4 linked regions of the Diceros bicornis minor genome follow. The protein of the gene in region 1 purifies or fractionates together with the protein of each later gene. This does not show direct contact. Links are inferred from orthologs where the notes say so. Each region holds a gene or a part of one and is shown in the gene's direction. Other genes may lie near its edges. The genes, in order: POP1, RPP25, POP7 and RPP38.

What was found.
Region 2: the proteins of POP1 (region 1) and RPP25 purify together in Homo sapiens (affinity purification with mass spectrometry; 3 studies listed by BioGRID and IntAct, counting the BioPlex papers as one, with this or other methods). This does not show direct contact. The link is inferred for Diceros bicornis minor from reciprocal best matches to the Homo sapiens genes POP1 and RPP25.
Region 3: the proteins of POP1 (region 1) and POP7 purify together in Homo sapiens (affinity purification with mass spectrometry; 3 studies listed by BioGRID and IntAct, with this or other methods). This does not show direct contact. The link is inferred for Diceros bicornis minor from reciprocal best matches to the Homo sapiens genes POP1 and POP7.
Region 4: the proteins of POP1 (region 1) and RPP38 purify together in Homo sapiens (affinity purification with mass spectrometry; 3 studies listed by BioGRID and IntAct, with this or other methods). This does not show direct contact. The link is inferred for Diceros bicornis minor from reciprocal best matches to the Homo sapiens genes POP1 and RPP38.

The regions. Positions count from the first base shown.
Region 1 is NC_080760.1:16,996,587-17,004,914, forward strand, and holds the start of POP1 (ribonucleases P/MRP protein subunit POP1), read left to right. Parts: upstream 1-4,802; 5' UTR 4,803-4,900; intron 4,901-8,328. Other genes in the region: RIDA (2-iminobutanoate/2-iminopropanoate deaminase), read right to left, coding at 4,534-4,598. UniProt on the Homo sapiens protein: Component of ribonuclease P, a ribonucleoprotein complex that generates mature tRNA molecules by cleaving their 5'-ends. Also a component of the MRP ribonuclease complex, which cleaves pre-rRNA sequences.
Region 2 is NC_080744.1:67,855,230-67,861,887, reverse strand, and holds RPP25 (ribonuclease P protein subunit p25), read left to right. Parts: upstream 1-4,204; 5' UTR 4,205-4,387; coding exon 4,388-5,029; 3' UTR 5,030-5,704; downstream 5,705-6,658. UniProt on the Homo sapiens protein: Component of ribonuclease P, a ribonucleoprotein complex that generates mature tRNA molecules by cleaving their 5'-ends. Also a component of the MRP ribonuclease complex, which cleaves pre-rRNA sequences.
Region 3 is NC_080765.1:5,135,190-5,143,123, reverse strand, and holds the start of POP7 (ribonuclease P protein subunit p20), read left to right. Parts: upstream 1-4,831; 5' UTR 4,832-5,478; intron 5,479-7,934. UniProt on the Homo sapiens protein: Component of ribonuclease P, a ribonucleoprotein complex that generates mature tRNA molecules by cleaving their 5'-ends. Also a component of the MRP ribonuclease complex, which cleaves pre-rRNA sequences.
Region 4 is NC_080775.1:15,572,672-15,581,183, forward strand, and holds the start of RPP38 (ribonuclease P protein subunit p38), read left to right. Parts: upstream 1-4,890; 5' UTR 4,891-4,993; intron 4,994-5,130; exon of another isoform or gene 5,131-5,432; intron 5,433-6,561; 5' UTR 6,562-6,618; intron 6,619-8,512. UniProt on the Homo sapiens protein: Component of ribonuclease P, a ribonucleoprotein complex that generates mature tRNA molecules by cleaving their 5'-ends. Also a component of the MRP ribonuclease complex, which cleaves pre-rRNA sequences.

The DNA.
Region 1 (8,328 bases):
TTTTGGATGCAAAAAAGCAGAAGAGGCACAATGTCCTGGAAGGTCACCACACAATGAAGCTGGTTGATGGCTTTTCTCAAGTCATACTAGTATATTCATATAACGATTCCTTCCTTTTTTGCTTGCAGCTTTATAAAGATAGTTGACTCTCACCTCCGAGTCAGCCAGGGGTATCACTGTCATGCTTTCTTTCTTGAACAACGTACACACTTGAGGAAGGTGTATGCTCCAGGCTCTATAATCACTTTGTTTTTGTTTTTGTTAAGGGTTGCTTTTGTTCTAAAGTAAAACCAGTGGATGATTGAGGGAGAGGGATCAGGGCAGAAATTGGAAAGATTATTGATTTTTACTTTTACTGTAATACCCCCTTAACTATTCTTATTGTCTACTTCAAATTATCTGAATTCTCTTCTTAAAAGAGATGTGGCCCCCCTCCCCCCCGTGGCCTAGTGGTTAAGTTTGGCGCACTCCGCTTTGGTGGCCCAGGGTTTCGCTCCTGGAAGAGGACGTACACCACTCACAGCAGCCTGCTGTGGCAGTGACCCCCATACAAGCAGAGGAAGATTGGCACAGATGATAGCTCAGGGCCAATCTTTCTCAAGTGAAAACAGGAGCATTGGCAACAGATGTTAGCTCAGGGCCAATCTTCCTTAGAAAAAAAAAAAAAGAGATCTGATCATGTCAATTCCTCTTCAAAAACATTTGATGGCTCCTCGCTGCATACCAAATAAAGTTTATACTCTTCAGCCTAGCACTGGAAACCACCATAATCCAGACTTTGCTAAAAGCTAATTTTTAGCAAGAGGCAAAACAAAAGTTCAAAGTCCAGCTCCTAACCAGTGTTTCACAAAGTACAGGTAATACACAAACATTGAATCACAGTAAGGGAATGATTCCCTTTTCAATGCTTTTTCAATTCTTCTGTGCAAGGGACAGAATGATTAAAGATCGAGCTCTGGAGCTCACAGCCTAAGGTGAATTTAGGTGTGACGGCCTAAATTCTGTCACACCACTTCCCAGTGGTGTGACTTTGAGCAAAACCTTGCATACATCAGATTCTTCATCCGAAAAATAGGGACTGTAATAGTAATTGGGCACATAAAGCACCTAGAACAGTGCCCAGTGCTGAGTAAGCATCAATAAATGTTCGCAATTATGACTTCAATCCTCTGATTACATGAAGGAGAAAAAAAAATTATTAGAAAACAAGTTAAAGAAACCTATCATTTTTTTTTTTTTTGCGAGGAGATCAGCCCTGTGCTAACGTCTGCCAATCCTCCTCTTTTTTTGCTGAGGAAGACTGGCCCTGGGCTAACATCCATGCCCATCTTCCTCCACTTTATATGGGACGCCGCCACAGCATGGCTTGCCAAGCAGCGCGTTGGTGCGTGCCCGGGATCAGAACCGGCGAACCCCAGGCTGCCGCAGCGGAGGGCGTCCACTTAACTGCTTGCACTGCTGGGCTGGCCCCAAGAAACCTATCACTTTTAACAAAAAGAGAGCAGGCTTTGGGTTCTGAGCCAACTGCAGTAAGCAGCTAGAATTTAATAACTTTTTTTATTTAATTGAGTTTATTTTTTACTGTTACCTTCTATTAGGTTGTTTTCTATTTAGAGTACTGCTGTAAAGTTTCCTTTTTAAATCTGTTAAATAAAGTGAGCCATCTCAAAGAAAAGTGTTAAGTAAATTATAATATAGGTGGTACACAGATTTGGCAAAATAAAAAAACGACTAAGAGTGGTACTTGGATTACTAAACCTTCCTCCAAAAAATCTTTATGCCATGTATTCCTCCACCTCTATGCCTCAAGTCACTCCCTCCCTCTGGAATGCCCTTCACCTCATGACTTCCTGTTGAAGTCCTTAACCAAGTAATTTAAAAATCAAACTTCACAACAGTACTGTAAATGGCAAACCCAACCTTCAAACCCAAATCAAGGACTACCTCTCACAAGGAGCCTTCTTATTTATTTATTTTTTTTTGTGAGTAAGATCAGCCCTGAGCTAACATCCATGCCAATCCTCCTCTTTTTTTTTGCTGAGGAAGACTGGCCCTGAGCTAACATCTATTGCCAATCCTCCTTTTTTTCCCTTTTTCTCCCCAAAGCTCCAGTAGATAGTTGTATGTCATTGTTGCACATCCTTCTAGTTGCTGTATGTGGGACGCCGCCTCAGCATGGCCAGAGGAGTGGCGCGTTGGTGTGCTCCCGGGATCCAAACCCAGGTCGCCAGTAGCGGAGCGTGCGCACTTAACCGCTAAGCCACGGGGCCGGACCCAACAAGGAGCCTTCTTAAATCTTCTTTTTCTCCCTCTGCCCCAAGTTAGCATCAATTTCTTTTCTTCTTTTGCCACTTTCCCTCCCCACTGCTTCCTCGCTCCCACTGCATTTTATTTGTAACCCTACTATAATAAATACAGTTCTGCCACATATAAGTGCTATTTCTCATGGCAGTGTGGTATAGAGGAGGGAGCTAGGGCTTGTTCAAATCAAGCTCTGTCACTTATAGACTGTCTGACCTTGGACAAGGTCATTTTGAGCTTCAGTTTTATTTTTACAAAAGGGGATGGGAGTTAGAGAAGGTGGTTGTCACGGTGCATGCCATACAGCATGCACTAAATTAAAATGTTTTTTTCTTTCCCTCATATGCGTGAATGTCTTTCACACTGGATGGCTTCTTAAACATTTTTGTATGCCCTGCAGTGCTTGGCATGCACCAGGTACTCAGTGCATGTCTGTCATAGCGCAAATGTTTCAGCTGTAGAAGTTTTCCAGCGTAGTTCTTGTAACAGTGAACAGATACCATAAACTATATTTTAAAAAGGAAAAATGGGGGCTGGCCCAGTGGTGCAAGCAGTTAAGTATGCGCGCTCTGTTGCGGTGGCCCGGAGTCGCTGGTTTGGATCCTGGGCGTGCACCGACGCACTGCTTGGCAAGCCATGCTGTGGCGGCGTCCCATATAAAGCGGAGGAAGATGGGCACGGATGTTAGCCCAGGGCCAGTCTTCCTCAGCAAAAAAAAAGAGGATTGGCAGATGTTAGCACAGGGCTGATTTCCTCACCAAAAAATAAATAAATAAATAAATAAATAAATAAATAAATAAATAAATAAAAAGGAAAAATGGAAAAAGGTTTCAGTGTATACTGAAAAATTAAAAATAACAAAAATTAAGAAAAAAGTGTCCAACGATGCATATGAAAAGATCCAATGGTTTTCAAGTGGAGACATTTTAAGAAAACAAAGTTTTAGGAGCCGGCCCCGTGGCTTAGCAGTTAAGTGCCGGCCCTCCGCTACTGGCGGCCCAGGTTCGGATCCTGGGAGGGCACTGACGCACAGCTTGTCTGACCATGCTGAGGCGACATCCCACATACAGCAACTAGAAGGATGTGCAACTATGACATACAACTATCCACTGGGGCTTTGGAGAGAAAAAGGGAAAAAAAAAAGGAGGAGGATTGGCAATAGATGTTAGCTCAGGCCTGGTCTTCCTCAGCAAAAAGAGGAGGATTGGCATGGATGTTAGCTCAGGGCTGATCTTCCTCACAAAAAAAAAAAAAAGAAAACAAAGTTTTAAAAAAGGGAATTAAGCTTTCTATTTAACAGTGCTTCTGACAAGTGGAAATAAATGTACATAGGGCAGACTTTCTGACCAGTATACATATATTTAGCTAGAGCATGTCAGGCCATCTTAGAAAATGATCTTTGCTGTGATTTGTATTTGATTTTATTAGTGGGAATAAGCATGGGCAATGAATTCATAAACATCACAATGCATTTACATGTGTCCTAAAAACCAGTGTCTCCAGTAGATGTGCAGGGATTTGCTAAGTATGTCTGTGAAAAGAACTCGGCTCTCCCCAGGAGGACACCCACATCTGTGGATGGGATTACTCCTTAAAATTAAGAGAGGGTTAGACCAAACATTATGCTAAGTGAAAGAAGTCACTCACAAAGGATCACATATTGTAGGTCCATTTATAGGAAATGTCCAGAACAGGCAAATCCATAGAGACTGAAAGTAGATTAGTGGCTACCAGCAGCTGGGGGGAGAGGAGAACGGGGAGTGACTGGTAATGGATATAGGATTTCTCTTTGGGGTGATGAAAATGTTCTGGGATTATATAGTGGTGATGGCTGTACTACTTTGCGAGTACAATAAAAAAAAATCACTGAATTGTAGACTTTAAAGGGGTGGATTTTATGGATATGTGAATTATATCTCGATAAAGCTGTTACCAAAAAAACAGTCCCAAAACAAAAAACGGACCGCTTCTAACCGAAAGGAGCGTATGGTTGACTGGGCTGCGAAGCCAGGCAGCCCCAGGTCGGGGCGAAGTCCCCCGCTCCCAGTGGGGCTCCTAACTCGCTGTGGGTCTCCGGGTGCACGCTCCCTTTCCCGGATTCAGTTTCCTCGCGCGTCGACGAGGTTGGCCGATGACCCCGAGGCCCACCCCAGCTTTGACCCGGAGTGGTCAGTCCGGGACCCCTGACCCCGCACGCCCGGAGTCCGTCCGCGCTCCCACATGCCCCATTACCTGTAGGGACCAATGGGCCCTGGGGCTTTCACGGTGCTGATCACCCTTCTAATCAAGGACGACATGACTAGTCCTTTTCTCTTAAGGCCCTTCCGAGAAAACAACTCCGTCCACCACCACCACTCGCGCTCGAGACTAACCAGCCCAGCACAGACTCTCCGCAGTAAACGCGTCTCCCCGGCGGCTTCACTCGGCATTCTGGGAGTTGTAGTCCCCGTGAGACTCCAGGCCACGTGGAGGCAGCGGCCGGACTGGCGCATGCGCGTTCCAGCTCGCTCGCTGCGCAAGTCGCTTTGCAGGAGGCTGTCGCAGAGCTTGTCATTCTGAGCCTGGGAGCCCTGGCTTCCTCCCCCAGAGCTCCTGTCAGGTAGGTTATGATGGGCTGGTGTCCCCGAGGGTCCTCGAGTTTGCGGGGAATGTGTGTGGCGGCCCCCAGCCCGGCGCCCGCTCTCTGGCCCGCCTCCTCTCCCCACATTCTCTCCCTCAGACCCACTGACCGCCTCTTCCCTTGCTGCCTACGCCTGGGCCCCTCTGCCTGGCCCCGTACCTCCTTCGGCCCTGCGCTCGAGCCCGCTGCGTCTGTCATTTTCCCGCATTGTGCGGCCGGGCGGAGGCCACCCTGGGAATGGACTTGCACCCTTCTCCTGCCACCCTAAAGGAATAAGACGGGTCATTCAGGGGACCACGCTGAGATCTGGGCATTGTCCACCTTCCCGCCCCTCCCATGTTCCCTTGTCTTGAGTGCTCCTCGAGCTTTACAAGGTCTCTACGCGTTCCCTTTCGATCTCAGCAGAGCCTTGGTGACTGGGGTCTGATTTCAAAAAAGGAAGATACTGATCTTGGTCCAGCACATGGCCCCAGAGCTGGTCTCTTCACAGATATTCAGTCATGCTGTGTCAGAAGAGGTGGTACTTGGCTAAATATTTCTTATTCTGTTAATGTATGCGTAATAGGCACGCCTCACTCCTTCCTTTACGCGTGCACGTGTGCGTTTAACAAATGTATATTGGGCTTCTACTTTGTGCAAGGCACTCTGCTAGGTACTGGAGATGCAACAGTGAAAAAGCGAGGTAAGATCCCTGTTCTCCCCTGCTGCTAAAACATAATATAAGAATATCCTTTTTAGTCCCCCTCATTTTGTCCTAGTACTACTAAGGTTTTGGCTTTCTTACTTCCGGCTCAAGAGTCTTGAGAGCTTTTTCATTGGTTTAGGGCTTTCTGCATGGAATAAAAGACCTTCCAGTCTGACCTCCTTTTGCCAAATACTCAGTTTTAGCCTCTTGTCCTCCCTTCCCACTCTAGTTGTCCAGAGTCCTCACTCCCGAATTCACACAGTAGATTCCTGAATACTCTTTCTTCCCTATCCAAATTCCAACTAACTGAAATCCTATTTTCTTGTTGACTTTTTCTGCAGATTCACACTTTTTCTTTCCTTTATTCAGTTTCCTATTGTGCTATACTGCAAAATTTAGTGTTTTATTATATGTGATCTTATTCTATAATTGTTTTGTGTTTTAAAAATAGTGAGTAGAGCCAAACTGCCTGGTTTGAATCCCAGCACAATCACAAGTGGCCTTGGGCAGGTCATGCTGCCTCTCTCTGCTTCAGTTTCTTCATTTATAAAATGAGGATAGTTCTAGTACCTCCCTCACAGAGTTGTGAGAACTAAATGAGGAAGGCATGTAGAATAGTGCCTGGCACATAAAGTTCTCAATAAATGCTAGCTGCCTAACATGACCAAATTCTTTAAGGAAGGAGGCCACATTCCTATATTAATTTGGTATACACACAGTCCAAAACTATTATGCACATAGTAGGTACCCAAAAGCTTGTTAAATTTGATTAAATGGGAATTAGGAGACGCTTTTTATTTACGAAATAATTCGCCATATGATTCTTTAAATTAGGAGCTCTCTTGGAGCATTACAGATAATTCAGCTTGTGTAAAATATTTCTTGTGAAACAAGTTACCTGTATTTTTTTTTTTTTTGTGAGGAAGATCAGCCCTGAGCTAACATCTATGCTAATCCTCCTCTTTTTTTGCTGAGGAAGACTGGCTCTGAGCTAACATCTATTGCCAATCCTCCTCCTTTTTTTTCCTCAAAGCCCCAGTAGATAGTTGTATGTCATAGTTGCACATCCTGCTAGTTGCTGTGTGTGGGACGCGGCCTCAGCATGGCCGGAGAAGCGGTGCATCGGTGCGCGCCCAGGATCCGAACCTGGGCCGCCAGTAGCGGAGCATGCACACTCAACCACTAAGCCACGGGGCTGGCCCGATACCTGTATTCTTGAGGCAGATTTTATATCGAGTCTGAATCGCCAGCTTTTTAGAGAAGAAATGAGAAATTACCTGGTTAATTCCCAGATTCTCAAACGGGAGTCTACTATGCCAAGTGGTGTATCTGACCAACCAGGAGATACTAAACTATAGGAGAAACAGGACGTATCCAATTTATTTGAATATTTGGAGGGAAAACAGTTTTATAAAGCCTGGCACATATTTAGTGCTCATTAAAGTTTTGACTGAATGAATATGAAAACAAATACAAACTGTGAATATTAGGAATAGATGTAAAATTCACTTGAATGTTAAGGTAGAAGTTAAGATTCCTTCTGGAACCTCTTTTAAGCTAAATCCTCAGACTTCATAAGGATATATTCTATATTCATTCTCTTCTGCTGTCAGAACTGTTGGAGGACCACTGCTAGTTCAGTCTGCTAATTTTTTAGTCTAGAACCTAAGCTCAGAGATGTGACTTCCAAAGGTTACCCTAATCCCTGAGTCCCAGCCTGCTTCTGGCCCGTTCTAGTCTTGAGCAGAGCTAGGGTTCCCAGGTAGTGCTCTCTCTTGCTCAGGAAGTTCTGATTCAAGGAGGTAATAGTAGGTGGACTAAATGGTTTTGTGAAATAATTTTGAATGGTTCTTAATGCAGACTGATCTGAATCATTTCCTTCACGAGCCAACTGGTTCTGCAGAACTCCATTTACTACCTACATATTTTTTAATTTGAAAAATGTTTTTGAGTGTAGATGTAGTTGCTTTTGATTTAGGTGAAAGCAGAGTGGAATGAGAAAGTGAAATGACATAAATCTCTGTTATTTCTTTTATTATTTAAGAGTAATAGCTAACATAAACTGAGCCCTTAGTTTATGCAAAGCCCCATGCTAAGTGTGTTATGTACATTACCTTATTTAATTCTCACTGCAACCTTGTGATTATTCCTATTTATAGAGGAGGAGACTGAGGCTCAAAGAGGGAAAGGAATTTTCCTAAGATTATATAGCTAAAAAGTGTTAAGGAAGGTATTTGAATTTAGGTCTTTCTAACTCCAAACTGAAAGTCCTTAAACACTACACCACATAAGTTACTCTTAATTTTATACGAAGTCTTGCGTTGGAAAGGAGGTAGGTGAATGGGTGGTAGTTAATTCAGTGGCACTTGGTGGGAGTGGTGCAAATCCTGGGATAGCAGTTTGGAAGTTCGTGCAGGTGTTTTTGGTTGGCATAATGATGGGGTGACACCACTGGCATTTATTGGGCAGGGACCAGGGAGGTTAGACATCCTGCAGTGTGCAAGAAAGTCCCACGGTAGCCCAGTACCTAACTCTGTTTTACATAAAAGCACAAAATATTGGTTGCATGGTTTTAATGCAATAAATCAAGGCAAGATTGTACCTTTTTTTTTGGGGACTTTACCAAGGAGTGTTCACTAGTCTGGAAAATGATGTCACCGGTGGCATTGCTACCTGCTCTTTGAGGTGTTAGTACAGCACACCTGTACTAGTTTGCCTTTGT
Region 2 (6,658 bases), on another chromosome or scaffold:
ATATCTGTGGTTGCTGCTTTCTAGCTGTGGTACACTGGGCAGGTTACTTAACCGCTCTGTGCCCCAGTTTCCATATCTGTCAAACAATGATGGAAAGGAAAATTGTGAAGATTAAATCAGAGAATAGATCTGTGAGAGTACCTGGCCCTCTGCTGGGCACTGGTTGGTGCCCGATAAATCTGAGCTCCCTCTGGCCCCCTCTGACTTTCCGGCCTGACTCTTTTGCATGCTCCCAAGCCCCTCCCAGAGAGGCTGGGACAGGACCTGGGTCTTTAGGAGCTCCCTAAAGCCCCAGGAGCTGGAGGAGGAGGAGATCTGCCCTGTGCTAGGATTTTTCTCCCAGTCTTGGGGTGAGAGACCTGTCCACGAGACGCGAGAGGCGGGATGTACTTCTGGAAGGGTCCATTTGCAGAGCAGGAGCTGATGCTGCACCAGGTGAGGCTGGGGCTCCAGCCTAGCCACTCCACCACCTCCTCTGACAGTGAAGAGAGTCTAATTTGCCCCTCGCTAGTCCCTAACATATTAGGAAAACTGCTATTTCCAAGGCTTTGCCTATTTCCTTTCCTTTTCATCAGCTTTTTTTGTGTGTGTGTGAGGAAGATCAGCCCTGAGCTAACATCCATGCCAATCCTCCTCTTTTTTGCTGAGGAAGACCCCCTCTGAGCTAACATCTATTGCCAATCCTCCTCTTTTGTTTTCCCCCAAAGCCCCAGTAGATAGTTGTATGTCATAGCTGCACATCCTTCTAGTTGCTGTATGTGGGACGCGGCCTCAGCATGGCCGGAGAAGCGGTGCGTCGGGGTGCGCCTGGGATCCGAACCCAGGCTGCCAGTAGTGGAGCGCGCGCATAAGCCACGGGGGCGGGGCTCATCAGCTTTCTTTCCCCCTCACCTCCCTTTATTTTATATTATATTGTAGGGCTGGCTCCGTGGCTTGGCGGTTAAGTGCGCGCGCTCCGCTGCTGGTGGCCCAGGTTGGGATCCCCGGCAAGCGCCCACGCACCGCTTCTCTGGCCTCATAGGCCGTGTCCCACATGCAGCGGCTGGAGGGATGTGCAGCTGTGACATACAGCTATCTACTGGGGCTTTGGGGGAAAATAAATAAATAAATAAATTATATATTATATTTTAAATAAATTTTTAAAATGTATTTTAATCACAAATAATATATGAAAAATAATATTAGCTAACATTTCCTGAGAACTTACCAGCCGAGGTTCTAAGACTTATAAATGTCTCACAACCACTTTATGAGGTAGGTTCTGATGTTAGCCCCATCTTACAGCTGAGAAAACCAAGGCAGGGGGTTTAAGTAAATTGCCCAAGGTCACATAGAGGCAAAAAGAAGCTAATGAAGCTCGGGCTTCAACGTCAGTACCTCACGTACACAGGCTGCTCCACGACTCTGTGCTTAATTTTGGATTCATATTTAGTAGTTCTTTTCTTCAAGAGGCCCAAAAACACTGGATGCGGCCTCAGAGGTAACAGAGGCAGTGTGCTGTTTTCTTGCAGCTATGAAAAAAGACCTTTACCTCTACTAACACGCACACACGGAAATAGACACACACCCCTTTAAAAAAATACCTGTGGTCCTACTGTGTGTATAGCTGGCATCCGGCTCTTTTAACAGAAAATCTTGACTGCCTTTCCACGTTTCTAACTGTCGGGGGGTGTTCACCACAAACGCTGAAATGTATTTACCCACCTTCGCACAGTTGAGCCCTCTACTCCCCTCCCAACCGCGTCCACCCCTTCCCCGGGGTTCCTCCCCGCCTCCCCGAGTATTCTCCCTTCTCCCCGCTCATCCAGGTTTCCTGTCTCACACCGCCCCCAGCCCCCCGTATCCTCACTATCTCTCCGTCGCCCCCATTCCTAGCTGCCTCCAGCATTTCTCCCTTCTCCCTGCCCCGCCCCTCGTTTCTACTTCACCGCCCACCCATTTTTCCCTGGCTACTGGCCCCTCTCCTGCCTCCGCTTTCTCTCCGCCAACCTCATTACCCTTATTCACAGTTTTCCGCCCCCCTCCCCCCGCCAGCCCTGCCACTCGGCGGCCCGGCAGGGGCGCACAGCCAGCCGGCTAGAACGCGCGCTGACAATATAATGAATGGCTTCAGCGGTAATTAGCGACCCGGCGGCTAATCACGATGTACATTTACATTTTAAGTGCTGCAGAGGGAGCGAGGAAGGGGAGGGGACCGGCGGGGGGGCGGTGCGGGCCTTTTCCACGCTCTCCCTTCACTGACTGGGGAGCAAAGTGAATCCAAGTCTTCCACCGCTGGCGGCAGTTGAAGGGGGGTTGGGGAGCGGTGCCTTGAGGACCAACCCAGGTGGACGCTGAACAACCCCACCCTCAGCCTACGCTAACCTGGAGCTCACAGCCCTTTGCTCCAAACTGCAGACCGCTGCCTATATCCTCTCCAAGTGAACGTTCAGCCTAGGCTTGCATCTCCCCGTGGACGGAGAGCTCGCTTATTCCCTAACCAGCCCGTTCTAACGTGCATTCCGGCCATTCGAGCACTTTTTCTCAGGCCTCGCCGAAACTGCCGTCTTTTACGTCCCGTAACTGCCCGGGTCTTACAGAGCCTGAGGTTCCGCGCGCCCCGCAACGCGCTGCAGACAGTCTGTGTGTCTTCTCGAGGCTGCTGTGCCTCCAGCTCCTGTGGCTGTTCTTCGTGGGGCCCGCGGGAGCTGGGGCGGAGCCGAAGTCCAGGTTTGGCGCGGAACGCGACCCTGAGGGCCCCTGACCCCAGCGTGCAAGAGATCGGAGAGGGGGCGCAAAGGTCCACCTGCTCCAGCCACTCCCAAGGGGCAGTAATGGGGTCAGCCCGGGGTTCTGAACAGCAAGGCCCGAAAACTAGAAGATAAAAGATGCTGAGGAGGCAAGGAGAGCCTGAAGATGGAGAGGGGGACCCCAGCAGCCCGGTCTCAAGACTGGGGCCCAGCTCCCCCAGGCACTGTTATGCCCAAGGCAGCTCTCCGCACGCCTCCCGGCTACGCCGCGTGGTAGTCAGCCCCACCCGGATCAGGTGTGCCCCTCTCTCTCAGTTCTGACTGTGCGTGTGCGTGAGGCGGGTGGAAGAATGAAGGGCGATGCCCCAGGGCAGTTCTAGGGAGGAGCCAGCTCCTTTTCAAACCCGCTGCCTCTCATCAGCAGTCCTTCAATCCCAACGTCACCTCTCTCTTCACTGTTCATCTCTCCCGGCAGGAGATTCGGGGCCACTCTCCCTGTCGAGTGGAGTTCCCAGAGAGGGGCACCCAGTAGCTTCATAACGCCCCCAAAGCTTCAACTTCCCACCTTCCTCCATTCTCCTCAAAACCTGCCTTCACCAATCTTCTTTCTGAAAAAGGACCCCACTGGGTCTCAGGAGGCCTAGGCTGACTGACAACGAATTCCACCTGGGAAGAAGGGATTCACGTTAGCAGGGAAGCATGCTTAGCTTACCCTAAAGCATGCAGCTCTAATAGTGTGCTTTCAGGCACGAGTGGAGGGAGCTTAACTCCCCTTGAGAAGGGGTCTCCTTGTTCTCTTCCCATTCACCTCAGGGAACAGCCTGACCCAGAGCCTCACTTCCCACACGCCAGGGGTGTACGTGGGTCCGGGAGCCTCCAGCTCCGGTCAGGCGCGCGGAGGCTGAAACCTCGGTCTTCGGCTGCCCCGAGAAGACAACACCGCGAATAGTCGTCCCAGGGAAGGCGCGGAGCGGAACCAGAGCCAGCGCCTCCCGCACTCTGCTGACCGTGCACAGGCTGTCCTTGAGGCAAGAATACCGGCTCGGGAGCGGAAGGGACGGAGTAGGGGGGGTTCCCCTGAGGAGTAGGGGAAAGAGGCCCCAGCAGGCTGCTTAGAAATCTCTCCTGGGGAGGGGACAAGGAGTAGCCTTCAATTTGAACGCGGAAGGGCTTGGGGACCCGACTTGTGGCGGCATTTGCACCGCAAACGCAGTTTTTATTTAGGTTGCCCGTTTATGAGGGTTGACTCGGAGACGACTGATGGCCATTATAGGGGAACTTCGCCTGACAACCCACCCTCGGACGCTGCCATTGCGCCCCAGCGTGCGCGCCGCTCCCACGCCCTTTTAGCTGAGGACCTGACTGGATCCGAGAGGCTGGTGAGGCTGGGACCGGGGCGGGCCGGGCCGAGTTAGGGGCGGGGCCTGGCAGTAGGGGCGGGGGCTCCCAGGCTCCCAGGCGGGGCCACCGCTAAAGGCGCGGAGCACCGGACGCCGAGAGCGCGGAGTAGAGCAGCGCCGACTGGAGAGAAGTGGGAGAGAAGAATCGCGCCGTCCCAGCCCGCCCGCCAGCGTCCACGCCTCTCCTGCACCCTTACCTCTGCCGGCCCTTGCCGGACTCGACTGGCGGCCATGCAGCCCCGGGGCTGAGGCGGCCCCATGGCGAAACCCGCGTCCCCGCGGTCCCGGCAACGACGGCGCATGGAGAACTTCCGTAAGGTGCGCTCCGAGGAGGCGCCGGTGGGGGACGGGGCCGAAGGGGGCGGCCTGAGCTCCGGCCCTTTCGCGGACCTGGCACCGGGCGCCGTGCACATGCGGGTCAAAGAGGGCAGCAAGATCCGGAACCTGCTGGCCTTCGCCACCGCCAGCATGGCGCAGCCAGCCACGCGCGCCATCGTCTTCAGCGGCTGCGGTCGGGCCACCACCAAGACCGTCACGTGCGCCGAGATCCTCAAGCGCCGCCTGGCGGGCCTGCACCAGGTCACGCGGCTGCGCTACCGGAGCGTGCGCGAGGTGTGGCAGAGCCTCCCGCCCGGGCCCACGCCGGATCAGAAGCCTGGCGACCCGGCTACCAGTCTCAGTGTACTTAAGAACGTGCCCAGCCTCGCCATCCTACTTTCCAAGGATGCACTGGATCCGCGCCAACCCGGCTACCAGCCCCCGAACCCCCATCCTGGCCCCTCATCCCAGCCGTCGGTGCCGACGACCAAGAGGAGCCTTGGGGAACCCGCAGCTGGAGAAGGCTCCGCGAAGCGGTCACAACCTGAGCCAGGTGCTGCGGAAGAGGACCGGACGGCCTGAGAACTCCCGGCTCTGGGCCACCTAGATGGACTGTATCTTACCCCCAGCGCCTCGACTTTGAGACGCACCTCCAGCCTTTCACGCCTTAGTACGCTAGAGCCCACAACTGAACACAGCTCCTCAGACTGGCAGCGTGGACCCCAAGGCGACAAGGGAGGGACCCCAGGGAAGCTTCGTGGGGTGGTTACTCCTCCACCTGTGTATTGCCTGAAGACGCAGAACTCCACCTTCAGCTTTTCTGAGCCATACTGGGACCTTCTTCAGGGAAGGAATGGTGGGCAGGGGGACTCGAGCCTTGCTCAGGGACCCCCAGCATTCAGGTGGGGGGCTCCGAGTGTGGAAGCCGAGGAGAGCTCTTGAATCACCCCCACCGTTGGCAGCAGAGGGCAAGGGGTGAGAAACTGATTGCTTGAGGGCAGGGGAGTCTGAGTTGTGGGGGGTCCTATCCTGCCCATCACGGCAGGACACAGTTTCTTTTCTAGTTTTCCTTCCCCTGCTTTTAAGGATCATCCTAGGATCATGGTGGCAGGAGGCATCTCCATGGGCTCTAGCTCTTTCAACGTCCTCCCTTCCCCAAGCTGGCCCAGAGGGAGAGACCCAGGACAAGTCTCCATGCCTCCTCCCCTGAGCCCCACAGCTAGAGTCTTGCTTCCAATAAAACAAACAGAAAAATGGCTCTGTCCCCATGTTTTTTCCTAACCACTTGCTTGTGCAGACACTGCTCTGGCCTGCCCCCTTGTGTCTCAGTCCCCTCCAGCCTGGAATCCTTAGCCTTTGGAGTATTCAGGGTCAGGCACAGAGACTGGACAGCTTCAAATTGTTGCAAGGGACACATTACCTGGTCCCTGTCTTCTCCCTCTCTCCCAGCGCTCCCTGGCTGGCTCTAGCCTCAGGTGCTTGTCACCGGAAGGGAGCCTTTGTCCCCTTGTGCATTACTACTAAGGGAAAGGGAGCAGCAAATTGCTTTTCTCGGAGGAGAAGGAAGGCCAGCATTGATAAACTCCTGGGGGTCACTGCCAAGGGTGGCAGACCCTGCTGGGGTCCCTAAACTTGCAGCCTCTTGCCAATAGACATCCTTATCCAGAAGGCTGGCACAAAGCCCTCTGTACCCATGGGTAGGATCTCCCCTTCATTGCTCTTTCTCTGAGAAAGGACAGCACACCCTTGGGAGAGGGGGAGGAGAGAGACTGAGCACAAATCCACTGCTGGAAATTACTATTCAGCAGAGAAGCTGGGACTTGGGCCGTGAATCACTGCAGGATCCCTGATAAGCTGTGGCCTGCAGCTCTGCACAGCTGTCTGTTGAGAGATAACAGCCTCATAAGCCTCTCTGCCCAACTCCAAGTCAACTGGGGAGAGTGGGGGAAGTGCTGTGTGCTGGAAGAACTCTAGCCAGTAAAGGAGGGGGCACATAGCTCCAGGATCTCAGAAGCAGACCCCACCCCATGCAACTCGACAGCACCCCTGGAAAGGAGGAGATGGGGGAAAATGTAAGTCACTTTGCTGGCAGAACCCTGAAATAAATCCTGCTGGTGGCAAGAGGTAGGTTTCTGCAGCTGACAGGAGAGGCTCTTCAGGGACTTGCCCCCCCATGTCTGCTTAAGCTTTGGATCAGCGAGCCGTGTTATC
Region 3 (7,934 bases), on another chromosome or scaffold:
CCCGGGCAGACAAGTCCAGCCAGTGCACCCACGGCTGGTTGACCAAACAAGACTCAACACTCAGTCCCCTTCCCCAGGATCAGGAGGACCCTGATCGTAAGCACAAAGGGCCAAGAGGGAACACGTTATTATGGTACAAGCTGGGAAGAAGGCTCCTCACCGTAAAGCAGAAATAAGGTCAGAGTTACTGAGGCTGACAGAAGCAGCAGCGGTGGCAGTGACCTGTCCCTTTAAAGAACAGTGCAAAAGACTCTCAGGAGGCGACTCATCCTTTGTGGTTCCAAGCAGAGGATGGGCGGGCAGGGTCCCAGGGAGCTGCACGAGGGCTGCCCTCACTGGCTGTGGGGGAGGCTGGACCGGAGCACCTCCACAATTCACATCAACTCCAAGACTGCACAACTCTGGGAAGGAAGGAAGAAGGGTTTCCACCAGAGGGGCCAAGGGAAAGAGGCTCTCACCCACAACAGCAGACAGGAAGACGAAGCAAACTCCATGACAGACAAAGGACCCACTCCCCAAATCCCAGCATCCTAGGGTGAAATGCAGCTTCTGAAACCATCTAGAGCGGGGCTGACCTCCCCTGGCATGGGCATCTCTTCTACAACAGCCCCAGCTGGACATTTCTGGTGATGGAGCAGGCACACACGGCCGGCAGAGAAGAGAAGTCTGCTGAAAAGCTCTTCCTTTCACTGGATTCAAGTAGGCCTCCCAGGACAGCAGAATAAGGTTAATCCTTTCTACATTACCACCTTTATGTAATTTGGCCAAAACATGAACCTTGAAGCTGTTACACTAAGTGAAACAAACCAGTGACAAAAAAACCAATATTGTACGATTCCTCCTATATGAGATTCCTAGGAGTCAAATTCAGAGAGATAGAGAGTAGAATAGTGGGTGCCAGGGCTCGGGGGCAAGCAGAGTGAAGAGCTGATGTTTAATGGGAACAGTTTCAGCTGAAATGGGGAAGATGAAAAAGTTCTAGAGACAGATGGTAGTGATGGTTATACAACAACGTCAAAGTATTTAATGCTATAGAACTGTACACTTAAAAATGGTTAAAATGGGGTATATTTTACCACCACTAAAAAAAAAGTTTAGGGAAAAAAAGACATTTGGGGATAGCAACTGCAGACCTAAGTCTTCCCTACTCCAAGAAAAACACCTCACATTCCTTCAAACAAACCTGTGCAGAGGCTGTTCTAAGCCTCCTCCAGTTCACTTCAAGAGAGGGACTTCTAGAGGGACAGACGAGTCCTGTGGGCAGGGAAGGCTGCTGTGGGGACAGGGGAACAGAAAAGGGGACCACTCACCCCCCGCCCTTCCAGGGAGCGGTAAAGGCGGCTCAACGCGGTGCTCTCCACTTCTGGCCTTCCCCCTTCTGTCCTGGTTGTAAAGAGCAAACTGAGGAGAAGCGGCTCCCAAGGCAAGAAGCAGGGACACTGCAGAGGCAAGGGAGAGGCAGTCAGTGCAGAAAGGAAGCAGAGCAGCAGCTGGAGAGAAAGGCCCCGTCTCTGTGCAGGCCCAGCCACAGGAGGGCCTGGTCCTAGAAGCTGCTGGCTGCCTGGCCCTTCCTCAGGCTAAAGGAAGTACACATGCTGCCCCACAGTTTCCACCCCTCCAAACAGGTGTCTTTTCCACATGCTTCCTCAAAGCCTCCACCGGGACGACTCTGCTCCCCAGGAGACATCTGGCAATATCTGGAGACGTTTTTGGTTGGCATGATTGGGAAGTGCTCCTGGCATCTAGTGGGTGGAGGCCAGGGATGCTGCTAAACATCCTACGATGCACAGGACAGCACCCCGCCCCCAACAGAGAATTATCTGGCCCAAAATATCAATAGTGTCACAGCTGAGAAACACTTCTCTAGGCCCCAGCACAGGTAATGCTTAGTCTCTGTTTATGGGGAAGAATGGAAGACAAGAAAAACCAAATTTACTCTAGTTCATTCTCCCTTCTGAAGAACAAGGGAATCATCCCTAATTACACTGTCCCATGAGAGAAATCTGAAATCCTGCCAGGAGGGAAATCCTCGAGAAAAGAATAAATTAAAAAAAAAGTGACTTAAGTTTCTCTATCACAAACTCTCAAAGCCAAGTGTTTGGATCCCTTTCCAGTGAAGGAAAGAGCAGGAGGGGTGGCAGGTAGAGGACTGGGGACAGCATCCTTTCCAGGCTACTTGATCCAAGGGTCTCCTCACAGGCTCATTCCAGCTTCGCCCCCAACCCTCAGCCCGCCCTACGCATCTGTCTGCCTAGTCCATCTGCTCCCTCCCAGGCCGCGTTTTTTCTCTCTGGCCTCAGTATACCCTCACTCCCCTTGCATCTGTATTGCTATTAAAAGGCTGCCCCCTGCCGGAGCCAAGGGGAGAGGACACACACTGGTCCTGGTGCTCACAAGAGGCTTCAGGGAACAGGAGCAGGGCCTGTTTTCTGGGGTTCAGAACTCATGGAAGAAGGAAAAGATCCACAGACGAAGCGGTCCCGGTACACACTAAGTAAAGAACATTATTTCCTCATTCCATCACCCCTAAAATTAGCCCCGATCCAAAGCAGTGTGCCTTGGCACGGAAAGGTATCACTATTAACAGAAGTAGAGGCCTAAATCCCCCAACGTCTGAGCAATGCCCAGCCCAAAGCCTGTTGGAGGTGACTCCACCCTTTCTCAAGATGGAAAGATTCTCCATGCGCGGTAGGATGAGAACTCTGAGGCTTAAAAGGGGTGCAAGCCTGCATGCCTCCCGGCAGGTCAGTTATCCCAGCTCTCCACTCTCTGAGACATCATGACAAATAACGCCCCTTGGCATCTGTCTGCTAGTTAACAGTTTTCAAAGCGCTTCCACACTTTACCTCATTTGATCCCTCTGCCCACTTGCCCAGTCTTGGGCTCCAGCCAGGTAAAACAAGGAAGGGAGGCTGCAGCTGCCGGGACGGGGGACCCCGATGGCCCCAAACACTCTATCCGAGGCTGGAGAAAGGGCTGCATAAGCAGTAGGAACCACCCTAAACTCGCAAGCATACTTTGTGAGTTTTAAACCACTTTAAACTTCTCGTTAGAATTTTTTAAATCCTTCCTATAGCCACCCCTTCTGCTCTCCTCTGCTCTAAAATGGGGCTCTTTTTTCCATCCTAAACTCCAACCACAGAAGTAAAATCGAAGGCAAACTGAGATCCTTTAATTCATCAAATCGCACACAAGACTCACGCTTCCACCGGCTGAAAAAGGCAGGCCAGAGGTCTAAGAACTCACTTGACGGTAATCACCAAAGAGACTCTTGAGGACCCTGGTCCCCAGGCCACAGCAGCAACACAAAGTTCAGATCCATCCCAAACCCTTCCCAATGCCATGAGAGACCCACAGTCTAGGAAAGAAAACTGGAGCCAGGGTGAGGGTGGGGGGCCTGGGGCTGCACAGGGATCAGCACAGACAAAAAAGCCAGACAGCCAACTCCCGCACTGCGAGCGGGGAGTCAGGGGACCCGCCTGGTGGTACCCATGGTGTTTCAGCTGCAGAGATAAGGGGCGGGAGGCTAAGAAGCAACCGGGGTGTCAGCTCGGAGGGGCGGCGGAGAGGCTGTGCGGAGGCTGCTGGTCTTTTGGGAAAGCAGCCTTAAGAAGCAAGAGGGGAGTCAGATCGGCGAGGGCGGAGGAAAGAAGCGGCCAACAAGTATTGATTTAGCATCTCTCAGGGCCGGGCGCGCTGCTGGACCAGACCTGACAGCTTACTGGGAATTCTAGCCATGACCGGGTAAGAGGTGCGAGACGAGGGTCTCTTTAAAGTTAACTTGAAAAAATATTCAAGGCAAAGTGTGCGGGGCCAGGGGGCTGCTGCATCAGGGGAGAAGGGCTGGGAAGGGCCCAGCCTGGCGACGGGGAACGCCGAGGTGAGGGAGGAGACCCCAATGACCAAGCACTAACGCCGCTCGCTGGAGGGAAACTGAGGTGAGGACCCGGCCGGAGAGCTCGAGGGCAGAGGAGAGGCTCCCCCGGCAGCCGAAGCCACCGAACGCCCGGACCGCAGCGCCGCAGGACCGGCCGTCGCCGACAAGCCCCCGGCGGCACGCTGGGGAGTCTCCGGGGCGCGCCGGGCCCTGGGGTCGGGCCTGGCGGGGGCCGGGCGGGGGCCCGAGGGGCGGCCGTTAGGGGCGCGGGGGAGGGCGGCGGGCGGCCTGAGGACGGCGTGCCCTTCAGGAAGGGGGCGGCGGGGGCGCGGGGCGACTGCGGCCGCCCCCCAGGGACCGGCCTCCCGCGGGGCCCGCCGGCAGGCTCGGGCGGGCGGGGCCGGGGCGGGGGCGGCCTGCGGAGGGGCCGGGGGAGGGTCCGCGCCGGCGGCCCGCGCGCCGCCCGCCCGCTCTGGCTCTCGCAGGCTCGGCGCGGCCGCCGCGGCGTCGGGGGCGGGCCGGGCGGGGGCGCGGGGCCCGAGCGCTTACCGCGGCGGGGGGCGGCGGCGGCGCGGGCTCCGGGCCGGGCGGAGGGCGGCGGCGGCGGCGGCGGCGGCGGCGGCGGCGGGGGAGGGGGCGCTGGCGCTCCCGCGGCGGCCGCTCCTCTCTGTTTGTGTTTGTAGCAAGATGGCTGCCCGCCTCGCACCACGTGACGCGGACGCGGGGCCGCGGGGCCGCCCCCGCCGCCGCCGCCGCCGCCGCCGCCGCCGCCGCCGCCTGCCTCCGCGGCTCCGGCCGCTCCGACCCGCCGGCCTCGCGCGCTCCCTGCCTGCCCAACGGGCGCGGCCCGGACGCCCGCCGCCCCCGGACCCCCCGGCACGTGACCCGGGAGCCCGGCTCGTCACGTGACGTGGGGCCGGCTGCGGCCCCGGGGGGAGGGTGGGGTCCCCCGGGTGCACCCTGCGCTGCCCTTCGGCACGTGACGCGCGACCATCGCGACGGAGGCCGCCGACAGTGACCTCGCCCGTCTCTCCCGGCCAGTCGACTTCCTCCAGGGAGCCCGCTTGGATTGAAGGAGACACCGGACACTCCAAGTGGTGTGTCCATCCGACGGCCTGGGATACATGAAATAAGTGAGGAACCGAATGATTTAGAAATAGTCTGAGGTGGTACTGGCTGGTAAGAGCTGGAGTTCGTCTGGCTCCGCCACTGACTAGCTCCTGGACTTCGGGGGCCAAGGAATTGATGCTTTTGAGCCTCAGTTTCTCTTTTATAGTGAGATGTTAATGCTGCTTTCCGTCGCATCCCCGGCCCCCATTCCACTCCGATCCCGGGGTGCTGAAAGCATTTAGAATAGGTGAATGTGAAAGGCTTTGAAAAGAGAGAAACTACTATGCAAATATGCGACGTAGATTGACACCTCCTTTGTTTAGAAAAGAGGTTTTTGAGAATGACTTTTCCGGAACTTTTTAGGATGAAAAAGCTTTGTGTGTGTTTTCATCATTTTCCTTGGAAGTCATTCCAAAATGTATATTCTACGTCCCAGCTTCCTAAAGCAGCGGTTACCAAATACACAGCAATCCTCCTCCAGACAGAGGAAGGTAAGTTCTGACCTGGAACTTGAGTCCCCACGGGGGACAGTTGTGCCTTAATGGAGCGCAGACCGCGGGAGCTCCCACGAAGGTCCTTTGTCCTGCGCCAGGTACCCCGCAGGCTTCTGTGCCCTTGGAGTTTTAGCGTCTGCGTTTTTCAGTTCCCTCCAGTTTCCTGCAGCCAGGATTCCTGCTCCAGTGTTGTCAGTCAAGCTGCTTGCTCACAGGCTAGAAAGGCAATTGTTTAAAGCAAGGGCTCCAGTGCTGGTTCCATCCATTACTCACTGTGGCCTTGGGCACATTCATTAATCTCTCTCTCCTCTGGATTGTGTGATAAAGCACTTAACACGTGCTTGGCATAGGGCAGGCACTCCACGAATGTTAGCTAATAGGGGCTCCTGGTTCCACAGGATCCACAACCTTCAGGCTGTTAACACTGTTTGAAAATGTATCAACACAGACTTCTCCCAGGATAAAGTTCTTAACTTTATGACAGCTGTTTTTTCTTACTCAAAAGCTTTTGTTGTTGCTTTTTGTTTGTTTTTTAACTTTTCTAGATTGTGTTGGGGGTGGCTGAAGTTGCCGGCAGCCTAACCTCTAAACGAGGTTTTAGCATGTTTTAATTGTTAATCAGCAAATATGAGATTGTAGATTATGGTAGACAAATGGTACAGAGGAAAAAGAAGGGGACCTCTGTAGAGTGGAAGCAACTGGGGACAGTTGTGGCCTGTGCTGAGCTGGAAAGAAGGGCAGGATTTGGGTAGATTTAGGAAAAGTGGGCATGGGCTTGAGAATAGCCACAATCCACCTGGTGGGAGAAGATGACGAGAGTTGCCAGTTGGATGAGAAGTGAAGTGAACTTCAGTTGAGGGCCTCGAATGCCACCACGAAAATGTTTTTTCTTTTTTTGGTGAGGAAGATCAGCTCTGGGGTAACATCCGTTGCCAGTCTTCCTCTTTTTGCCGAGGAAGATGAACTCTGAGCTAACATCTGCGCCCATCTTCCTCTATTTTGTACATAGGATGCCGCCACAGCATGGCGTGATCAGCGGTACATAGGTCTGCGCCCAGGATCCGAACCTGCAAACCCCGGGGCGCTGAAGTGGAGCATGTGAACTTAACCACTACGCCACCCAGCCGGACCCACGAAAATGTTTTTGATCGGAGAATAGCACCTACTAGATGCAGCAACACAAGAAGAGCACATTGGGACTCCGGGGCCTCGGTTCCCTCTGGACCAGCTTGTGACCCTGGAGAAGTACTCTCCTTCACTGTAAAGTGGGAATGCTGCTGCTGCAGATGACGCTAGAAATTGAATCATAGGAGGGCCCTCTGAGAAAGGAAACTATGAAATCAGACTCTTAATGTCCCATACTGAACTTAAAAATTACAAAGAAATCACTTGGACCTAAACTATTTTTGTTTATTCAGGTGCAACACTGTAAAATGTCTCGATCTGTGTTGTTTTAAATTTGCAAGCTTTTGAACTAAACAAAGAGATTTGGTTAGATGATTAACGGAGATGAAAGGGAGTTCTCCAGGAGGACTAAACAGCTGAGCTCTGCCCTTTTTCTTTCTTGCTTTTTATTTTTTTTGGTGAGGAAGATTAGCCCTGAGCTAACAGCCATTGCCAACCCTCCTCTTTTTGCTGAGGAAGGTTGCCCTGGGCTAACATCTGTGCCCATCTTCCTCTACTTTATATGTGGGATGCCGCCACAGCATGGCTTGATGAGCAGTGCGTAGGTCTGAGCCTGGGATTGGAACCTGCAAACCCCAGGCCGCCGAGGCTGAGCACGCGAACTTAACTGCTATGCTGCCGGGCCGGCCCCCTGCCTTTTTCCTTAATGGCAGATTCCTCTGTGGTGTTCGCCTTGGATGAAATACAAAAAGATAAGGACCATCTAGTGTCAAATTGGTTTATTACAGAGCCTGGCTTCACCCACCTAAACTGTGAACCTTCATATTTATCTGGATGTCAAAGTTTGGAAAACGTATTTTAGATATCATGAAAAGACACACAGTCTGAATCATGGAGTGATAGTTCATAAACTGTGCTTACTGTTAATTATCAGACAAATGGGCCCTAAAATTAATATATTGCATTCAGAATTACTTTCTGCCATGAGCTAAGTTCTTCGGTCAACCAAACGTAACTGCTTGTCTAGTCACCAATGACCTCCACATTGCTGAGTCCACTGGTCCATTATCTTATGTGGCTTGTCAACAGCATGTGACACAGCCGGTCACTCCGGTCCAGGAAGCGCTTTCTTCACCTGGCTTCCAGGACACTGTATTCCCTTGGTTTTCCTCCCACCTCACTAGCTGCTCCTGCTGAGTCCTTTGCTGGTTCCTCCTCTTCTCCCGTATCTCCCAGGGCTCAGTCCTTCCAGACGTATCGGTTGTAACAGGAGGGACTGCACAGGATATGAGCCCCACTGCTAGACATTCCTGCCTCAGCTCAATCGT
Region 4 (8,512 bases), on another chromosome or scaffold:
CTCTGCTAACCTCTACTCTACTTTCCGTCTCTATGAATTGGCCTGTTCAAGTCACCTCATGGAAATGTGACTATCATACAGTATTTGTCCTTTTGTGACTGGCTCATTTCACTGAGCATAATCTTTTTCAAGGTCCATCCATGTTGTAGCATGTAGCAGTACTTCATTCCTTTTTATGGCTTAATGATATTCCATTGCATGTATATATCACACTTTATCCATTCATCCATTGATGGACATTTGAATTGTTTCCACCTTTTGGCTATTATGGACAATGCTGCTATCAACACTGGCATACAAGCATTAGTTGCGTCCCTGTTTTCAACTCTTTTGAGGAAACACCTAGGAATGGAATTGCTGGGCCATATTGTAATTCTATGTTTAATTTTTTTTTGAGGAATTGGCAAAGTGTTTCCCACAGCAGTTGTACCAATTTACCTTCCCACCAGTAATGTAGGAGGGTTCCAATTTCTCAATATGCCCACCAACACTTATTCTTTCTGTTTTTTAATAATAGCCATCCTTGTGGGTGTGAAGTGGTATTGCAAATCGGATCTATGATTTGCAAACATTTTCTCCCCTTCTGTGGGTTTTGTTTTTACTCTCTTATAGCGTCCTTTGATGCACCAAAGGCTTAATTTTGATGAAGATCCATTTATCAATTCTTTGTTTTGTTGCTTATGCTTTTGGCATCATATCCGAGAAATCATCGCCACATTCAGTGTCATGAAGATTTTCCCCTAAGTTTTCTTTTGAGAGTTTTATAGTTTTAGCTCTTAAGTTTAGAACTTTGATCCATTTTGAGTTCCTTTTTGTATAAGTGTCCAACTTCATTCTTTTGCATGTGGATATCCAGTTTTCCCAGCACCATTTGTTGAAAAGGCAGTCCTTTCCCCATTCAATGGTCTTGGCCCTCTTTTCTTTTCTTTCTTTCTTTCTTTTTTTTTTGCAGCAGAAGATTCACCCTGAACTAACATCTGTTGCGAATATTCCTCTATTTTGGGGGTGAGCCGCCACCACAGCATGGCTGCTGCCAGAGGAGTGGTGTAGGTTGGTGCCCAGGAACTGATCCCAGCCCCACCCAGTGGAGCACGCTGAACTTAACCACTAAGCCACTGGGGCTGGCCCTTGGCCCCTTTTTCAAAAATTAATTGACCATATATGTGAGGCCTCTCTATTCTATTTCATTGGTCTATATGTCTGTCTTTATGTCAGCTCTGTAACATTTCACTTACTGTAGGTTTATAGTATGTTTTTAAAATCAGGAAGTGTGAGTCTTCCAAATTTGTCTTTCCTTTTCAAGATTATTTTAGCTATTTGGGGTCCCTTGAGATCCCATAATAATTTTCATGCTGGTTTTTCTATTCCAGCAAAAGATACCCATTACAATTTTGACAGGAATTGCATTCGATCTTTAGATTGCTTTGGGTAGTATTGGCAAGATGTCCAGATGAGCTCTTAACTCTGGCTGCACATCCAATCATCTGGAAGGAAAAACACAAACACAAACCAGATGCCTGATTCCTGCCACCAGAGATTCTGATTTCAAGGTTGTGGGGTAGGGAGCAAACAGCGGGAATGATGCAGCCAGGGTCGAGATCTAGTCTGAAATGATAACTTGGCTCTCTTTCTCAGAAGGGCCTCTGAATAATATGTGTGGTGGTCCATGATTTCACTGCTCTCCTTCCCACAAGTGTGCACACTCTCCTCCAGGAACACCAAACTACTTTAAATTCCCTGTTCTCCAGGTTTATAGATAGCTGCTGCGCTCCACTGTCCAGAATGCCCTTCTCCTACCTTATTAACCAGCCAATTCCTCTTTCAAGACTCAGCTTAGATGGCACCTCCTCCAGAAGTTTTTTAGGACAAGAGGCATCTTTAGTCTGGTCTACAAGCCTGTAGCCTTCTCTCCTCTCCTCTCCTCCCATTCTCCCCTTCCTTCAAAGGGTTCCATCTACACGGGCCTCCTTGCTGTTCTAACAGGCTAAGCACACTCCTGCCCTGAGGGCCCTTACACTCTTCCCTGGGTGTCTGCACGGCTCAGTCCCTCACCTCTTCCAGGTCTTTGCTCACACATCACCTCTCAGTGAGGCCTTTCGTCACGCATCCCAGCACCCCCTTGCTCTCTTCTCTGCTTTACTTTTGTCCATAGCACTTCTCATGATCTGACATACTACATAGTTTACTTTTTTGTTTATTGTCTGTCTCCTCCATTAGAACTTTTTTCATTCACTGCTTTATCCTCAACACTTAGAATTCAGTAAACACTGTTCTCTGTTGAAAAAAGGAAGGAAGCAAGGAAAGAAGGAAGGAAGGAAGGATGGAAAAAAGGGAGGGACGGAGGGAAGAAAGAAAAACAGTTGCTTCATTCTTACATATCTAGCATCTAGCACATAAAAGATACTCAATAAATATTGAACTAACAAAGTATAATGTTATTGATTTTTTTTTACCTAATACATATACACAGACATATGTACACATTTCTATCTTAAAAGTACTTCTCAACCACTGGCTCTCAAATTGCTTCAGAAATTATTCTGTGATTAATTCATATAAATATCTATACTTTAAGTAATTCTAAAATTATAGGGCCTGTTTATATATACCTCTGGTATATTTTGAACAGTTACTTGCAGCCTATTTTATATCACATAGATACTTTATTTTCAAAATCGGTGCTGGCAGTTTAGGACTTAAGGAAAATCCAAAGTGTAGCATCACATCACATTAGGCCTCTTCTCTGAAAAAAAAAAAAAAAAACTCTAAAAAAGCGTCTACTAAAAAAAATCTCAGACTAGCTTTGTTACCATCTGATTTAAGGTCTTTCAAATTTCTCTTTTTTAATAGGACAGCTCCGCCAAGGCCCCCTGACAACCTTTCACATCACCTAGCCACGTAGGAAAGGCTTGACTGCAATCTGACCTGAATCTTGGTGGAATGCCCTGTAATTCCTCCTGGAACAAGGCCTTCCTATCCGGTGGGAGACTCCCACCTCGGTGTTTCTCCTCCATTCCCATAGTTTCAGTTGAGCACACTGGAAGGCTGAGAGGTGGTGGTGGTGATGATGCTGTGTTAGGCTGAGTTTTTTCAGGATAAAATAACTAACAGCTGTCATTACAAAGTAAAACTGATCATTCAGTATAGGATATGAAATATATAAGAGTTAAAGTGACAATTTGAAAACTATGCTTGAAAAACATGGAAAAAAATCTTACATGGAATGAAAATCAGAACACAAAATTGTATCTACATTATTATTTTAACAATGTCAATGTACGCACAAATGTGAAACAAATTAGAAGGGAACACTGAGAGGAAATGTGTTTTGGGGTAATCGAGTCATGGAAAATTTTTTTCTTTTGACTTTTTTGTTGTAATATTTTTGTGACACAAATGGGAGAGAAGTTACCTTTGAAAGGTAGTTTTACATTTTAGCAAAATTCTTGTGAAAATTATATTGCTAGTCATAAAATAGAACACAAGCACTAAAATCATAGAGGCTACAGTTAATTTTTATTAACTTAATTCTTAATTCAGGGTGTCACTGGATTCATCATAGTTATAGTTACCAAGCACTTTCTATGTGCTAGGGACTGTGCTAAGCATCTTACAGATTATCTCTTCTAATCCTCACAACAGGCCCTATTTTTATCACCTCCTAGAGAGGGTTAATTAGCTTGGTTTAGGGTCACATGCCTAGTTACTGATGAAGTTAGGGTTTCAGCGTAGGCAGCCTGGCTCCTGAGCCATGGAATGTAATGGCAGGTAATCTTCATAGAGCAAATGTAAATTGAGATGATGCTATAAATCTAACTATACAAACTGGAACCATAAATCTAAACCCTTAGGGGAACAAAAACTTATACACATTTCCTTCTCATTACTCTAGCATTTCAATTAGACATGTGTGTCTCTATTTGTCTCCCAGCTTAAAGGACTAATTTAGAATTACATGTTTGCAGTTCATCACAATGAACCAATGGGATTCATTTTATGAAATAAAGTCTGTTGTTACACTCAAACTCATTGTAACTTTGTTATTTTTAATCTTTCTGTGATTTAAAAAACCACACTGAACTTTCCCCTGGGTAACCTGCAATCATCTTGGACAAAAAGCAACACGGTTTTTTGTTTTGTTGACTTTATGGCCAGTTAGGATGTAGGTGTTGAAAGCTGAAAATATAGAAACTAGACCAAAAAAGGGGAAACAAAGCAAGCAACGCAGTGATTGAGAAAGGGAGGAAGATGTTTGGAGAAGGAAGAGAGCCTAAGTTAGACTGGAAAAGAAAACGAAAGGTGTAAATTAGGTCAGAAGCAACCTACTGTCCTCTAAGTTCGTGCCCAGGGCAAACAGATTCAGATGGCTGAACTTGAAAATGGTCTTCAGCTGATTTACAGTGGTCCGCGACTTCCCAGGGCCTCCATCCGTAACCATAAGTCTCCAGTGGTTGGAGCAGACATTTGGAGCTTTCCGAACCGCTGTCGCAAAACTGAAAGCAGGCTTTACTCTCCTTCTCTTTCAGGGAGCTAAAGAGTGCCTACATTGTTGCCTGTAAGCACGTTTTTCCCCCCTCAATCCACCCCTTATCTCTCATTTATCTTGATTCTCCTGTTGCTGGGGATTCGGCAGGGATTCGATGGAAATGGGGGCACTGGGCCTGAGGCAAGCCAAATACAGAAAAGCGAGGAGAGACAGAGGGCTAAGAGTGCCACGCGCAGAAAGGCAGAAAGGAGAGGTTGCGAGCTGTGACAAACGGCCTTCAGGACATTAAGGGCGGTAGACTGGCCCCCAGACCACGCAGCGGAGACGCGGGCAGCAGGTTACCGTGGCAACCGTCAGGTCTCGCGAGACAGACATTGCGCCTGCGCACTGCCGCTGTAGAGAACTTGAGGGAGCCTCCAGCCGCGCTGCCGAACTCAGGGTTTCTGGGATCCGGTCTCGCGCCGTCGCTTCCGGGCCGCGCGACGCCGTGGCCTGACTTTCTGCATCGTGAGTGAGCTAACGCCGAAGGATGAAATGTGAAGTTCTCTGAGCATTTGGAAGGCGGGGTGGGGGTGGGTGGGACGGCGGAGCGAGGGCTCTGCGCACGCGCGTCGCGGCGCACGTGGAGCCGGAGCTCCCGCGGTGGTGAGTGGGAGCCGGGCCCCGGGGCCAGGAGGGGCCGCCCAGGTGGGATCGGCCCCAGGATTCGGCGGAGTGAGAACACCCAGGGTCTCCAGGACGTCCCCTGGACCCCCCTGCATCCCGGCCTGCCCGTCCCCGCCCGGACGCGCGTATTTTCCTGCCTCCGGGCGTCGGCGCCCGCTCCGCTCGCTGCCTGCAGTTGAGCGTCTGTTGGGTGCGAGAAATACTAGGATAAAGCCTCATCCTGGCCCTTCGTTACTCCAGAACCTAGAGGTGGAGACGGACGACAGCATAACACACCTGCGTATGCTAAATAGTAAATACGGAGGCACCAGATAGAGGGGCGGCGTCCCTAGGGAGGGGTTAACTCAGGGTCGGGAGTGCAGCCACTGGGAACTGGGGCTGCCCTCCACTCCGCTACCGGATCCGCAAACCAGGAGGCCTCCCTGAGTCCTTCCTCTGCCTTACTCGTAGTCGATCGCTCAAGTCAGGTAGATTTTCTCTTTGAACTATTTCAACTAGTATATCTTTCTGTCCATCCCCTCTGCGGTGGCTCTACCGCAAGCCACGGTCATGTCTTACCAGGACTATTCCCGGAGCCTCTTTGCTGCTTTTAGTCTTGGCACAGGACCCTCCCAGGCCCGAATTCACAAAGACCTTTCTGGAATGTCTTTCTAATTCTGCCGCTCTGCTTTAAACGTTACAGTCGCTTCCCACTATAAGGCGTACAAGGACCTTCACTGTCTCTTCTTTACCTGCCTTTCCTGTTATCTCACCATTCTCTAGCATCTCTGTCCAGGCGACACTGAACTTATTTCATTATCTTTAATGCTGTTCTCTGGGATACTCTTTCTGCTTCGTTCTCCCTTTGGTAGCATTCTTCAGATGTAGGTTAAAAGTCACTGCCTCCAGAGACCCTTCCTGATCCCCTCAACTAAGTCAGGCCTCTGGTATATGTTCCCTTAGGATCCTGTAGTTTCTTGACCTTAATGTGCGCCACGTCTCGTTGTATTATTATTTGCTGATAAGACTTCCTCATAGATTCTAAGCTCAGGGAGGCGACTGTTTTTACTTTAATACTTTATGGCTTGGTGCATTGTGGATAATCCAGAAATACTTGTGGAAGTAAGGCAGTGATGGGGGTGAGGGTGGGAGTGGTATTCTGGGCAGAGGGAATATGTGTATAAAGACGTGGAGGTGAGAAACTGGTGGCCTCCTTAAATAGTATGTGGTTCAGTGGGGGGTGTAACCAGCAGGGTGAGGCAGCTAAGGGGAGAGGCTGGTGGGGCGATGGGGGCCAGGATGTGGAGAGCCATGTATGTCACCTTAAAGAGTTACTGTTACTTCTCCTTGTCAGTCACTCCTTTGTTTTTGAATAATATGACATAAGATTCTTCTTTTCCAAACTCCTTGGCTCTCCTCTCCCCCTCCAGATTCTGAAGACAGGAGGAGTTAAAGCCTATCTTGCTCTCTCTCCAGAGCACGTAACTGTAAGTATTTATGTAAGGATTCTGTGTTGTTTCAATGCTCAGACACATTAACTGACTTGGATTTTGGCAAGAGCTCTGTTAGATCATATTCGTCTTGCTCGTCTTCCTGATCACCGTAAACCCGATGCCAGCCTCTGCCAGTCACCACTGGATTTGGATGAGCTCCCTCCTGATTCCCTGAGCTTGAGGGGAGCATGGAGATGACGGGGGATGGGAGGGCTGCGCGGTGGGGCTGATGTGACGGAAGCGGGTTAGGCAGCAGACACCGAGTTTCTAGAAGGGGCAGTGCTGACACGAACAAGGTCTGACCTCTCACCCCAAGGAACTGAATTTTGATTTTCTGTTAGAAGGTGACTGAGGAGGAACACTGGAGGCCTCTACTGGTCTGTCCAGTGTGGAAAGGCCGTCCATCCTACATCAGCAGTTCCTAATTCTGGTTCTGTATCAGACTCACCTGGGCAGCTTTTTAAAGTACAGATGCCCTGGTCCTATTCCCCAGGATCCCAATTTAGTAGATCTGGGGTAAGGACCAACCATCTGTATGTTTTAAAACGCCACAGGTTATCTTTGAGGTGCAGCCACGATGGAAAGCACGTAAAATTTGGATTTGGAAAACTAGCTGTGACTTTGGGCAAGATATTTAACCTGAGACTGTTTTGTCCTCCACACATGGGACAGTTATACAGGAATTCTGTGAGAATCAAACAATACATGGAGAAGGTGCCTTCTAAATTCCGACATACTTCACAGAGACACTTGTTCCTGAACATCAGTAGCCAGCCTAATAAGCAGAAGTTTAATTGGAGAGGACTTAAATCTTAATCCTGCCTGGGGCACTTCAGGGTGGGCAGGCCTTGGCAGGACAAATGACCTGGAATGAGGGAGGATCTGGAATGAGAAAGTCTGGCTACCTGAAAATAGGGACAGTTCCAAGCCGCAGACTGCTCCAGGGCTGGCTTGTTTCACTTCCTTTAGTTTTGCCGCATGGGTCCCTGTGGTTCTTAGCCAAGCCCCAGGCAGAAGGTGAGGAAGAAAATCAAGGGAAGAGAGATGCACTTGTCTCTGGGAGGGAGAAACACGATATGCTTCCTAGACCAGTGGTTCATAACATTTTCGCAGCAAGGATCCTTCTTGTTATTTTTTCTTAAGGGATTAATATCTTTAAATTTCATTACCAAATTTCCCTAGTTTTCATCAAATTGCCAGCTGGAGGAGCAGGCAGCTTGGAATAACCATAGGAAGGGGGAATGTACTGCTGCATGTGTATTAAATGTTTTAGGAAGGATGTACAAGAAGCTTAGGGTCTAGGGAGGGAGAGAGACTTACAGAAGGGCATAGAATGAAAGTATCATTTGAATGTGTAATCATGTGCATACATTACATTTCCAGTTCTTAAAGAATCACACCTGGTGATTATGACTGGCAGCGGCCTCTGGGCCCCACAGACTGTGAGCTCTGTGCAGGTGGACACAGGGGCTTAAGCGGGGGGAACTGGCTCACTGCTGAACCCAGTGCCTGGACCCCAGCCTGCACATTGGAGGTCCTCAGTATCTGTTGAATGGATGAATGGAAGCCTAACGAGAGAACAGTTTAGAAAATGGTACCAAATCTGTAAGGTTAATACCATCCAGTCATTAAAAGGATAAATAATTAGGAACAAGTAGAAACACAGAACATTTTTAATAAATGAAATAAATAGAATTTCACTGTGAATGCAATAAGGTAAAACATCCATATATTGCCTGTATATGAATAAAGACAAAGTCATATGAAAAAACGGAGAAAATAAATTACTTGAGAGGTTAAGTGTATGGTCACATAGTTGGTCCTATATAATTAGGCTTTCCAGAATCAGAGTATAACCACGATATTCTGAAGTCATGCAGTGAGAGCT